Mus musculus: one gene and its partners. The protein of the gene in region 2 interacts with the protein of the main gene of each other region in a pairwise test. Links are inferred from orthologs where the notes say so. Each region holds a gene or a part of one and is shown on either strand. Other genes may lie near its edges. The genes, in order: Rfx6, Nedd9 and Nfkbia.

The links.
Region 1: the proteins of Nedd9 (region 2) and Rfx6 interact in binary tests that used the Homo sapiens proteins (3 or more experiments, as listed by UniProt). The two-hybrid records come from large-scale screens. The link is inferred for Mus musculus from reciprocal best matches to the Homo sapiens genes NEDD9 and RFX6.
Region 3: the proteins of Nedd9 (region 2) and Nfkbia interact in binary tests that used the Homo sapiens proteins (3 or more experiments, as listed by UniProt). The two-hybrid records come from large-scale screens. The link is inferred for Mus musculus from reciprocal best matches to the Homo sapiens genes NEDD9 and NFKBIA.

What each region holds. Positions count from the first base shown.
Region 1 is NC_000076.6:51,676,416-51,680,582, reverse strand, and holds the start of Rfx6 (DNA-binding protein RFX6), read right to left. Parts: upstream 2,824-4,167; 5' UTR 2,774-2,823; coding exon 2,554-2,773; intron 2,299-2,553; coding exon 2,142-2,298; intron 1-2,141. UniProt on the Homo sapiens protein: Transcription factor required to direct islet cell differentiation during endocrine pancreas development. Specifically required for the differentiation of 4 of the 5 islet cell types and for the production of insulin.
Region 2 is NC_000079.6:41,338,481-41,342,016, reverse strand, and holds part of Nedd9 (enhancer of filamentation 1), read left to right. Parts: intron 1-2,996; coding exon 2,997-3,440; intron 3,441-3,536. UniProt on the Homo sapiens protein: Scaffolding protein which plays a central coordinating role for tyrosine-kinase-based signaling related to cell adhesion. As a focal adhesion protein, plays a role in embryonic fibroblast migration.
Region 3 is NC_000078.6:55,489,835-55,494,122, forward strand, and holds the start of Nfkbia (NF-kappa-B inhibitor alpha), read right to left. Parts: upstream 2,814-4,288; 5' UTR 2,693-2,813; coding exon 2,466-2,692; intron 1,945-2,465; coding exon 1,836-1,944; intron 1,497-1,835; coding exon 1,286-1,496; intron 1,026-1,285; coding exon 937-1,025; intron 833-936; coding exon 572-832; intron 136-571; coding exon 88-135; 3' UTR 1-87. UniProt on the Homo sapiens protein: Inhibits the activity of dimeric NF-kappa-B/REL complexes by trapping REL (RELA/p65 and NFKB1/p50) dimers in the cytoplasm by masking their nuclear localization signals.

The DNA of each region.
Region 1 (4,167 bases), on a different chromosome or scaffold from region 2:
GATATAACTGAGACAATATCTATAAATGTCTCTAAACACAACCTACAATCCAAACCCTATAGTATAGATCTAGCTATATAAGTTTTGAAAATCTGGGTAGATTTCCACTTAACTTCAACTACATGTAATGTAATAAATAAAATCTGTGTTGCACTCATCTGAATGACAACCTAGAAACCAAAGATTTTAGATTCTATTTCCCCTTTTTCAAAAATGTCAGTAAATTATTTTTACTAAAATGCATTTATATCAATTTCATGTTTAATAAAACATAATTATTTACAACACAAGAGCAATGTAATATGCAGTATCAGTCAGAATAAAATTGGAGAAAATCCTTTAAGACTTTGGATACATTCTCTCTCTCTCTCTCTCTCTCTCTCTCTCTCTCTCTCTCTGTTTTTCGAGACAGGGTTTCTCTGTATAGCCCTGGCTGTCCTGGAACTCACTCTGTAGACCAGGCTGGCCTTGAACCCAGAAATCCACCTGCCTCTGCTTCCCAAGTGCTGGGATTAAAGGCGTGCACCACCACTGCCCGGCTGGATACATACTCTCAATGCACACAAAATAAACCTAGGGGACCTGTTTCATAAGGTTCAGACACTAAATTATTTTTTTAATTAAAAAGATCCAAACCAACTGGGATATAGTATTTCAAAACAAATAAATTTACCTATCTAAAATTGAATAGCTAACTGACAATAAAAGCTGGAGGTAATAAGTCACATTTTTACTTTGATTTTCAGTTCTAATTTTTAACACTCCAACTCAATTTTACAGCCTCACAGATTTCTCAAAATTCAAGGAACTTGGGGTATTTTTTTTTTAAATCTACAACATTCATTTTCTTCAGAAGATTGGGAAAATGTGCTCTATAGTCTTCAAAAATGAACAATCTTATGAGAAAGAAACAGCTATTTAAATTTTCAGTTTAAAGGTAGGAATGTAATACCCACAATCCATTTATTTGGGTAGTTATTTTTATATTTATTGTTTTCCCTTCAAAACTCTGAGTTAAGCTAGACATATGTATGTATGAATTTTGAAACACTAAAGATTGTTTCCAATTACTCAATTTGAACTGAAAACCTGAGAGTAATCACTCAAAATCCTTTAAAGTAAATTCAAAATTAAACATTATTTTCCAAATATCCTGATGACAGTAGTTGTTTCCTAAATATTCCAGATAATTTCTTAATTATTTACAGTTTTGGGGTATATTCAAGTAGTAATCATGACAGCAAACTTTATCTATTAAAATGTAACTTTACAGGCATATTTATTTTCTATTTCAGACATTGAAAGGGTTCAAGCATATACGTTCAGAACGTCAGGCTATAAAAATTAGAACTTAATGTTTAAAACAAAAATGCAGTTTACAAGTATTTATAGATTTTATTTTTCTAATTCTTAGATAATAATATAGGAGAGAGAGAGGGAGAGAGAGAGAATATAACTTACCAGTAAATAGTCTTTATTACTTGGAATTGGGGGGAAATCTTGTCCCCCAAATGCTTCACATTATGCAACTGTTCTTAATGACACGTTCTTATTTAAGTATCTTTTTCGTTTGCAGAAAGTATTATAAAACACACTTCATATGTAGAAGACCTACTGATTATTTCTCAATTTTAAAAGACTTGGGGCAAAAAGTTAATTTGTGGTGTTTTACTATATTAAATCATGTATGCACTATGCTGTAAAAACTGAAAATTATTTAATCATGACTGCTTGAGTGATTTTTTTTTTCTGTTTTGTACTTTTAACTCAATCCATCTGTTTTGACTGACACAGTACCTGCCCTCCTATGGATTAAAACAGAGTTAAACGCCTTCCATTTTTCGCTGTTCTGAAGGATCATATCTCGAAAACATAAAAATATCAAAGAAATATATTTTATGTTCAGCAAACAATCACAGAAAAATTCATCACAGCTTACATGTGAAGAACCTGTGGCTTTAGCTTTTCGTCAGGGTCAGAATAGGTCTCTGTGTGCATATGCAGTGCAAGAAAACAGGTGCATTTGTCGTGGGTCTTTTAAACTTGTGGAAGTTTTAAGGAGAAGCAAGTTGAGGAAAGCCAGGGTCTTAGAGACAGGGGCTGGTGGACGTCAGCCAGTGCGGGTGACAGGACCAGCTTACCACTGCAGGGTGAGCTGAGTCTGCTTCTTCTTATCCTTCATCATCTGCGTGATGCTCTTCTTCTGAGAGAGCTGTGGGTCGGCTGCTTTGGTCTTGCTCTCCTGGGTGTCCGCATCCTCTTCTTCCGAGGAAAAGTTGCCGTTGTTTAACTGCATTTCTGAGGGCGAGTGTAAGGAATGACAAAGAACAAGGGAACACGCGGATCAGTCCAGAGACCTCCACACCCACCTTGCTTTGCACCCAAGGAGGAGCAAGGAAGGAGTTGAGCAAAACCCTCATAGTTAACAGTGTTCCTGCTGAAACGAAATGGTTCCGACAGAGCATCCTACTTTATGTGTATTCAGAGTGCTTCGTTTTTATTCTTGGACACCCTTAGGACTCAGCACCGCAGCCGGGAGAGTGGAGCACTCACCTGATTTAACTCCCACCTGCAGCCCGGGATCTCCGCCTTTCTCACCGCTGCTCCGAGCGCCCGCGGCTGTTTCAGCCAGCAGGTAAGCACTGTCCTCAGGGTAGACCAGCAAGCCCTTGCCAAGCAGCTGCGCGCAGCACTCCTCCGCGATCTCGGAGGGAAGTTGGGGCGAAGGCTGCTCCTGCACGAAAGCTTCCTCCAGTTCCCGGACCTTAGCCATCCTTCCCACCGCCCGGATCTCGGCACGCCGCCCGGGCTTGAAGGAGCTCTGTGTAGAGCCCAGAGCCCCGGGGCGGGGCGGGGCGGGGCTGGGGAACCTGTGGCCGCTGGGCAGGCTCCAGAGCCCCCGATGGTGGAGAGGGGACAGGGTGAACAGGTACCGCACAGATGGCAGGGTGGAGGAGGGCGGAGGCGATGCTGCCTTTTTCCCAAGTGTCTTGCTCGGTCTGGGCAGAAGCTTGCTCCCAGTTCACTTCCACATTGGCTGTCAGTCACACCGAGCACTTTCCCCTTCGTTTGTTCTCTCTTGCCTAATTCTAGACCCAGGACCATTTCTCAACTGAAAACTTCCTGAAGGATCCTATAAAGCTCAGCTCTTTTCTCTAGTGGGACAAGCAACTTCACTTTTCCCCATCAATTCTCAGGAGACTAATCGAGGCACCTGCCTGGTCAGCCTTGACTTGAGTATCAGGTGGAAGTGAACAAAACCCAGAGTACCCTTCCCTGGTCTTTGCACCGCCTGGGTCAGATGTATTCCCAGAATAATGCAAGGATCGAAGAGCACCCTTTTCAGTGGCTGGAAGACAGAGACACTGCTCTGTATTTTGGGTACTTAGGTCTCACATCCCTCTAAACTATTGAGGTTGGAGGAAAAGATACCATTCAAACTTGCATGTGCATCACTTACAATTCCTCACTTCATGCCCAGCAGTGGAACGAATATTTTCTGAAATTTAATAATATCTCACTCCCAAATGACAAAACCTGGGTTTGTTTCGAAGTAAGTTGGGCTTTCTATGAAGAATGGAGCTGGGTGGAGCTTTGGGATCCGACTGCCTGGCTGACTCGCTGTTTTTTTCTTATTCTATTCTCTGTTCTTTGGACAAACAGGCCCTCCAGGAGAAGGAGGGATCCTGCCTTGGTTTCCATTGCCTCATCTCAGCTAATCCTGTATCTTTTGGGGGGAGATTAGAAAGCGACATCACCTTTGAGTTTAGCATGAAATAACATTAAACTGAAACCACAGAGAGAAAGCAAAATGAGACCCAGAGTGGCAGCTGACTAAAGGGACAATTACAGCAGCAATCCAACAGAGAGAGCAGCCTTTCCCAGGGCAGGTCAAGCTGCGCTTATGTGACTGCTTCCTTTTCAGCAGCACTTGCTGGGAAAGGCCTCACTTCTCCCAAGCTCATCTCACCTGCTTCCTTTGGATGCTGGACATCGGCTGTAGCCACACACTTTCCCACACATTCAATGTTCCCTACCTAGGATTGTTAGTCTTCTCTGCCTACTCCTCTGAAAGCCTCCCAGCCTGCTTCGTGTGTAGGACTTTTCTCTTTAGTGCTCAAGTGTACAGTATGCTACCTTTCCAGAGACACACTCAGGGGTGTTCTG
Region 2 (3,536 bases):
CACTTAGTCAAGGCTGATGTGTACCGGGGTATGAATGGATGTCAGCCTGGCCTGGGGGTGGGGGTGGAGCAGTGTGAGGTCCTTGCTCCCCAACCGCTGGGTCAAGTTCTTTCTAAATCCCATTTTCTCTGTCTGTTGTGAGAAGACCGGAGAGATGTTGTGGGCAAGGAGGCAGGAGAATTCACCAGATGTGCCCACTTTTGAATGGTTGAGGGGACTCTGGGGCTATCCTAGGAACTTCCCTTAGGCTCCTGTGCAGGCATGAGCCTGCAGCTAAACAGGCGGTGGGAAGGTCACTGGGACAGAAGACAAAACATATCTAGCAGACTCACCCGGGGATTTGTATCTGTGTCTAATCAAGCATGGCGCAACACTCCACTCAGTACCTCACGGTGTTCCAGACCCTGGAAGAGGCCCAACAGCGAACGCCTCCAGCTGATTGCGGTCGATTGAGCTGCAGTCCTTTGCCCGTCTGCTGTCTTCTCTTGCTTCTCTTTCTTTTCTTTGAAGCCTGTTTGATTGCATAGCTATCAGTCTTCTGGTCCCATAGGGTTGCCCCCAACTTGATCACTTCTGATTCTGTGTAGGGACTTCCTTTGCTACCATCCCCTGTTCTTGAATGGGCCCAGACCAGAGTCAGCTCTTCCATCTAAGCTCTGAAATCGGAATCCTACGGAGTCCCTTCCCTGAGGTCATTTGATACAAAAAGGACCAGAGTCTTGTCCTCTTTAAACCTATGACCCCTTTTTACAGTGATAGAACACTCAAAGGATGGGGAGAAACAGAGATCTAAGCATCCTGGCACATTCTTTAATGGCTCTAAAAACTAAGCAAGCATGTGGCCTGACTTTATCGTTGTATTTGTGAGTTTTTCAGCGTTAGAAGGAATCCAGTGTTTCCTAGTATACAACTGCTAAGTAAAACCTTCACCTAACACAAAAGCTCCGAATTCCCTTCTAGCTAATCTCAAACAGATCGCATCTACCAGTGATTTCAGCTTTATCCTAAGTTCCCTGGGGGACGGCTATTTGTGGCTCTAATCTCTCTTCCTAAAATTAGGTATTCATGATAAAAGATGATTGGCTAGCTGCAGAGGTATGTACCTGTAGTCCCAGCACTTAGGAGGCTGAGGCAGGAGGATTTCTTATGTCCAGCCTGCCGGGGCAGTATAGCAAGTGTGTGTGTGTGTGTGTGTGTGTGTGTGTGTATACATATATATGTTTAAAGTGTATGTCTTTAAAGTATGTATGCTTAAAGAAAAAGAAGACTTGGGAGTAGTTGACCAAGGCAAGACACAATGAAAACATATACCATGGTTTTGTTGTTGCTTCGGGGGGGGGGGGTTGCAGGAGGGGGGGGATGAGGAAGGAAAGTTAATTGGGTAGTGTGATATGAGAAGGATCTAAGAAAACTTGGAAAAATATGAGCAAAATATATAGTATGAAAGAAATTTAAAATAATTTAAAATGTAATGAAAACAAAATAAATTTTGTATTATCACTTCAAAAAACACAAAGCAGTGAGTGGAACTGGACTTCCTCCAGCCTCGCGACCAGAAGCAGACCCCTCCTCTCATACACAGCCCCTCCCCAGAAGAGTGCGCCTCACACTGCGAGGCCTGTGGTTTCAGGCAGAGTCCAGGGGCAGGAGATGATTAATGCATGTCCGTCTTAAAGAAATGAAAAGCATGAGATTGGAAGATGAAGTCCACATTTCTGGAGAGGAAAGCGGAGGCAAGAGTCCAAAGAAAAGCAGCCCCGAAGTCCACAAATATGCGATGGTGTGAAATAAAGTCCCAAGCATACTCCGGCCAAGCGGCAGTCCTTCGCTCCGCAAATGACTCCTCGCCACAGTGACATTAAGTGCATCCAGACGCTCGAGTGACACATGAGAGGGGTCACATTTAGTTTTTCCGATGCTTGCGCTGGGTTCCCTATGTTCCCCCCACTTGTCTGCACTCTGGGAAAGGGGCAGGCGTGCGGGACTGGCTGCCAGTATGCCGAGAATCTTCAGAGCCTTTGAAAGCCTTCCAGGAATGTCAGCGCAGACTGCCTGCCCACTCTCTGCTCAATGCCTACTTTAGCTGTCTGCCGAGGACTAAATGTGCCAGACAGGCCTTCATACAAAGACAGAGAGTGTTCTGAGTCCATGAAAGGAAGGCACAGCCTTTCAGATGTGAATGGCGAGATTTAAGTAGGTGACTACGTGGTGGCCTACTGGGAAAGGAAGGGCCCTCAGAGAGGTGCAAGAGAGACCCAGCCTATGAACCAATGTATTCCTGCCGAGTACCTCTCCACGGTGGGATCTGTCTAGACAGACTGCTATCACACTGTGTCCCTGCTTGATTACTGTAGCCTATCCCTATGCTTTCGCACGTAGATTCTTCCTGCATCCAAGGCCTCCTTAATCATAAAAGATATGGTAGGCTCTGCCAAGGCACAATTATGTGTATGTACTTCTAGTTACATTGCAATGATGAATAAAATTTCTGTTTGTAGTATGTGTCATTTAGAATTTTCTTTGACTCATTTGGGGGCGGGGTCTAGAATATATAGAAGCATTGTGGCGTATGAGCAGCTTTTTCTTTTCTTTTTTCTTTTTTAGTATTGAGGGCAGCTCACTGTGGCGCCTGAACAGCTTGGAACATTCTTCCCGTCCAGCTGACTTTGAAAAGTTAGAAAAATGCTTTGCCCAGTGACCCCTTCCTAACTCGTTAGCAATGCCAGCCCAGCTCCTTGGCAAAGCACCCAGCACTGGAGGGAAATCTCTTCTGTTTTGTGCTTTTTGGAGGAGTCCATCTGATGTCACTGGTGGAAGACACAGTGTGGCTGTGGCTATCTTTTGTCTGAACCCTCTAAGTTCCTTCTGACAGGCTAGTGTTCATATTTCTTCTCTATTTCCAGGAACTGTGCCTGTCCCTAAAAGTGTGGGTTGTATAAGTGCTAAAAAGACAGACCTAACACTCTAACCCTGTTCCTCTCTTCTTCCCTTCCCAGAATCTTATGGCAAGGGCCTTGTATGACAACGTCCCTGAGTGTGCTGAGGAGCTGGCCTTCCGCAAGGGAGACATCTTAACTGTCATAGAGCAGAACACAGGAGGGCTTGAGGGATGGTGGCTGTGTTCCCTCCACGGTCGCCAAGGCATTGTCCCAGGGAACCGGGTGAAGCTTCTGATTGGTCCAGTGCAAGAGACCCCCGGTCATGAGCAGCCTACTCCTGGACCTATGCATCAGACCTTTGGCCAACAGAAACTCTATCAAGTGCCAAATTCCCAGGCAGCATCTCGGGATACCATCTACCAAGTGCCACCCTCCTACCAGAATCAGGGAATTTACCAAGTACCCACTGGCCATGGCACTCCAGAACAAGATGTATATCAAGTACCACCATCAGTTCAGAGGAACATTGGCGGCACTAATGGACCCCTTCTAAGCAAAAAGGTAAGTGATGAACTAGAATGTTGTTCTTTCTTTTATGCCACTCATTGTAGTTAGAATAATAGAGGCAACCCCCCAAAAAAATACTTAGAAATTGCC
Region 3 (4,288 bases), on a different chromosome or scaffold from region 2:
TTCTTTTTCTTTTTTTTTTTTTTTTTAGAAAAATAAAACTCTATTTGTACAAATATACAAGTCCACATTCTTTTTGCCACTTTCCACTTATAATGTCAGACGCTGGCCTCCAAACACACAGTCATCATAGGGCAGCTAAAACAAGAGAGGGGAAAAAGACATATTAAATTCCTAGAACTTCACCAAGACATTGGGATAAGGGGAGAGCTGCTGCTGAAATAACTCCTATTCTTGGGCTCTTTTTCTCCTTAACCCAAATAGAACAAGGGCACCAGGCTGTAGGAGTTTCCCTTACCTATTCTTTCCTTAAAAAAAAAAAAAGTCTAAGCTATTGAGGGGGTGGAGCTTAATGGTTGAACGTGTGCTTATCACCATGTGCTAAGGCCTGGGTTCAATTTCTAGAATTCCCTCATTCCTCAACCCAAAAGGGTAAGCTCTTAAAACAAACCAGAGACAAATTCTTGGGATCCTGGCTTTGCAAGCCGAGTCTGAGAAGTTAAACAACTGAAATCCCTCTGATCCAAAGCAGCCCTAGAACAGCCGTCAGCGTGCTGAGGGGAGGAACACTCACCTCATCCTCTGTGAATTCTGACTCCGTGTCATAGCTCTCCTCATCCTCGCTCTCGGGTAGCATCTGGAGATTTTCCAGGGTCAGCTGGCCCAGCTGCTGCTGTATCCGGGTACTTGGGCGGCCCCAGGTAAGCTGGTAGGGGGAGTAGCCTTGGTAGGTTACCCTGTTGACATCAGCCCCACATTTCAACAAGAGCGAAACCAGGTCAGGATTCTGCAGGTCCACCGCAAGGTGGAGGGCTGTCCGGCCATTGCAGGGCTCCTGAAACCAAAAGCAATCAGGCGTTAGTTTACGGCTGCATCTGGAAACCTGCTCACCATCAGAGCCAGCCCAACAGAGATTAGGTGGAAGGGAGATGTACTCACCTGAGCGTTGACATCAGCACCCAAAGTCACCAAGTGCTCCACGATGGCCAGGTAGCCGTGGATAGAGGCTAGGTGCAGACACGTGTGGCCTGGAGGAGGAAGACAAAAACTGTAACTACGTGTTTCAATCCTCACACAACTCATGTCTATTGTCTTGAGGACAACCACAAACATCATCAGTTTTGAAGAACTCAGAATCTGGGTTCTGAGTGAATATCATATAGGCATCGAGGAGAAAACTTTTTAAAAAGATCACAGTGTCTGAACTTTGTATACGTTCGGAGTTTAAGACTCAAGTGGCCCCATCTCTCTCCCTCCTCTGCATCCTTGGATGGACTGGCAGACCTACCATTGTAGTTGGTGGCCTGCAGGACGGAGTGGAGATGCTGGGGTGTGCAGGTCTGCGTCAAGACTGCTACACTGGCCAGGCAGCCCTGCTCACAGGCAAGATGTAGAGGGGTATTTCCTCGAAAGTCTCGGAGCTCAGGATCACAGCCAGCTTTCAGAAGTGCCTCAGCAATTCCTGGCTGGTTGGTGATCACAGCCAAGTGGAGTGGAGTCTACAAATGGAAGAGGAAACAGAAAGGGATAAGCCATGGAGCAAACCCATAGTCTTGAGTTTCCTGAACCCCAGACACCTCCCGCTATGGAATCTGATCCTCCCATTTGTCTCTTAGGAGATCAGGCAAACAGGAGGCCCTAGGTGGGTCATAAAGACCTCACTAAACCCAAGGGATTTTTCTTCTGGTTCTAAGACGTTGGCTGATTTGAATGCAAAAGGCCAAGGCAGATAAGAACTAAGTGACTATTAATTTAGAAACGCTTTGGGGGCGACCGTGCTACATCTGACTCCACCAAGGGGTCAAAGAGGGCACCCGCGGGGCAAGCAAGCAGCGCACCTGCTGCAGGTTGTTCTGGAAGTTGAGGAAGGCCAGGTCTCCCTTCACCTGACCAATGACTTCCATGGTCAGCGGCTTCTCTTCGTGGATGATTGCCAAGTGCAGGAACCTGAGGGATGACAGGGAAACCCCCCGAGGGGTGGTGAGCACACTGCGTGGGGGGGGGGGAGGCGCGGGCTGGAGGTGGGGTTGGAGGGGGGATTGCGCAAGGCCGGGGTTTCTGGAGGCCGCGGCCGCGGTGTTTTCCGCGAGGTTATTATGAGCTGAGTGTTCCTGGCAGCCGCCCAGGGACTTTCCGTGCCCCACCCCCTCCGGGCGGGCGCCGGCCAGACCGGCCCGCCCTCCGCCGCCCGGAACGCCCTGTACTTCCCCTCGCGGCCGCGCGGCGCCCGGCGGCTGCGCGCCACCGCTGCCAGGCCGGGACTTTGCGTCCTCGCCGCCGCTGCCGCCCCGCCCCCCCCGGCCTGCGCTCGGCGACTCCGGGTCCGGGGACAGGGGAGGAGGGGGAGGGGGGAAGACAGGCGGCCCGCCGCAGCCCCGGCGCCCCGCAACCCCGGCGCCCTCGCCGTGCAGAACCCCGAGCGCGCTGCAGGCCCCGCGCGACCCCCACCGGTGCCCGGCGCCACTTACGAGTCTCCGTCCTCCGTGAGCTGCTGCTTCCAGGGCTCGGCGGCCAGCGGCGCCTCCTGCGGCTGCAGGCGGATCTCCCGCAGCTCCTTCACCATTTGCTCGTACTCCTCGTCCTTCATGGAGTCCAGGCCGCTGTCGTGGCGATCGTCCACCAAGCGCTCCTTCTTGAGGCCATCCCGCGGGCCCTCCATGGCCCAGTCCTGGCCGTGCCCAGCTGGCTGAAACATGGCTGTGCGGGGCTGAGCGGGTGCAGGCTGCAGGCTGCTGGCGGCTGGCTGGCGAGGTCTGACTGTTGTGGGCTCGGCAGCGCCGCCGCGGCGCCCTATAAACGCTGGCAGGGGATTTCTCAGGGGCGGGGTCAGGCGCGGGGAATTTCCAAGCCAGTCAGACTAGAAAAAGAACTGGCTCGTCCTCCACTGAGAAGCCTAAACCCAGGGCCGGGGTTCATCGGAGAAACTCCCTGCGATGAGCCACTGGGGTCATGCACAGGGAACTTTTTGATGAGCCCTGAGTGGCTGGAAAGTCCTCCCGACCAGGCCCCCTCCCTCTAGGTACTTCCCTGCAGCCTGCACTCAGTAACCCCAGCCCTCTGCAAGAACCCTTCTTTCCCTGGGGTTTCCCACCGGGCGATTTTGGTTTGGGGTCCCAAGCTGCGCAGCTTCCAAGGACGCAGACCTGCTAGGCTGTTCCTCTTAGCGATTTGCCAGTTTGCAGGTCTTTTCCGGTTTTTGATCTTTTTGAAAACCCAAGAGTGGAAACGCTGGCTAGGTGCAGGGATTCGCTTCTCCTAAATTTCTGCGACGACGGACATATGAGTGGTTCCGGGGCCGGCTGTGTTTTGTCTGTTCCAGGCCCTTTGCAATGCAGGGACATTTGGCTGTCCTTCACTCCTACTCCATGAAGCTGTAAAAACTTTGGCATTAAAACAAACAAAACCACCACCACCACCAACAAAAACCAAGAGCTTGGAGAACCCCTAGATTATTTCCTAGGGGTCAATAATCTTGCCCCCCCCCCCGGGGGAGGGGCAAATCCTAGCTCCGTATGGGAACCACATTTTTCCCCAAGTAATGCAAGCTGTTAATCTTAGTAGAAGTTGTAGTTTCCTTGCAACCGCAACTGTTGCGTTCTTGCTGTCGGAGTTAACTTGTTGCAGAGAATGAAGCCGGAGCTTATTGTGAATGCCTAGCAGAGCAATTGACTTAGTGCCCTAGCCAAGGCTGGCCTCTCAAACATAGCTAAAAAAGTAACTGTGAGGTATCCTGCAGGAGGCTCAAGATAGTCCTAACACAGACCCCATCTGAAACCTGCTGCTTCTATCAGCTTCCTTGCTCCCAAGGGACCGCGGCATTATGGGTAGCTGCTCCCCCAAGAAAGGGATTTGGGCCTGTGAGCCTCTAGTTTAACCGGCAAAAGTACAAATGTTACTTCCACCCCACCCCTACTTAGGGAAAATTAAAGCAACGTGGATCAGAGTTTGTCAGACCAGATCCAGGAGGCCTCTCTAGTTCTGCATAGATTTCTGGTGAGATGTGAATGATCTTTTTCTTAATGAGCCTTATGTCAGCTTTCCTCTCTTTGGAATTCCAGCGCCTCCCCCTGAGTATGCATGTGAAGACACTGAGGGAAAAGATTCAAAATCCAGGAAAAACCAAAAAGCCTCCAGACAGTAAGGGCCAGGTTAAAGTTAAAACTTCCTCAGCGAATTCTCCTTTTCCTCTCAGTGGCAAGTTGGATCTGCAAGTGTAATTGAGTGGGACATAGTGAGATTGATCATGAGCAGGACATCTCAATTCCACGCTCTGCCTTTCATTAAATACATT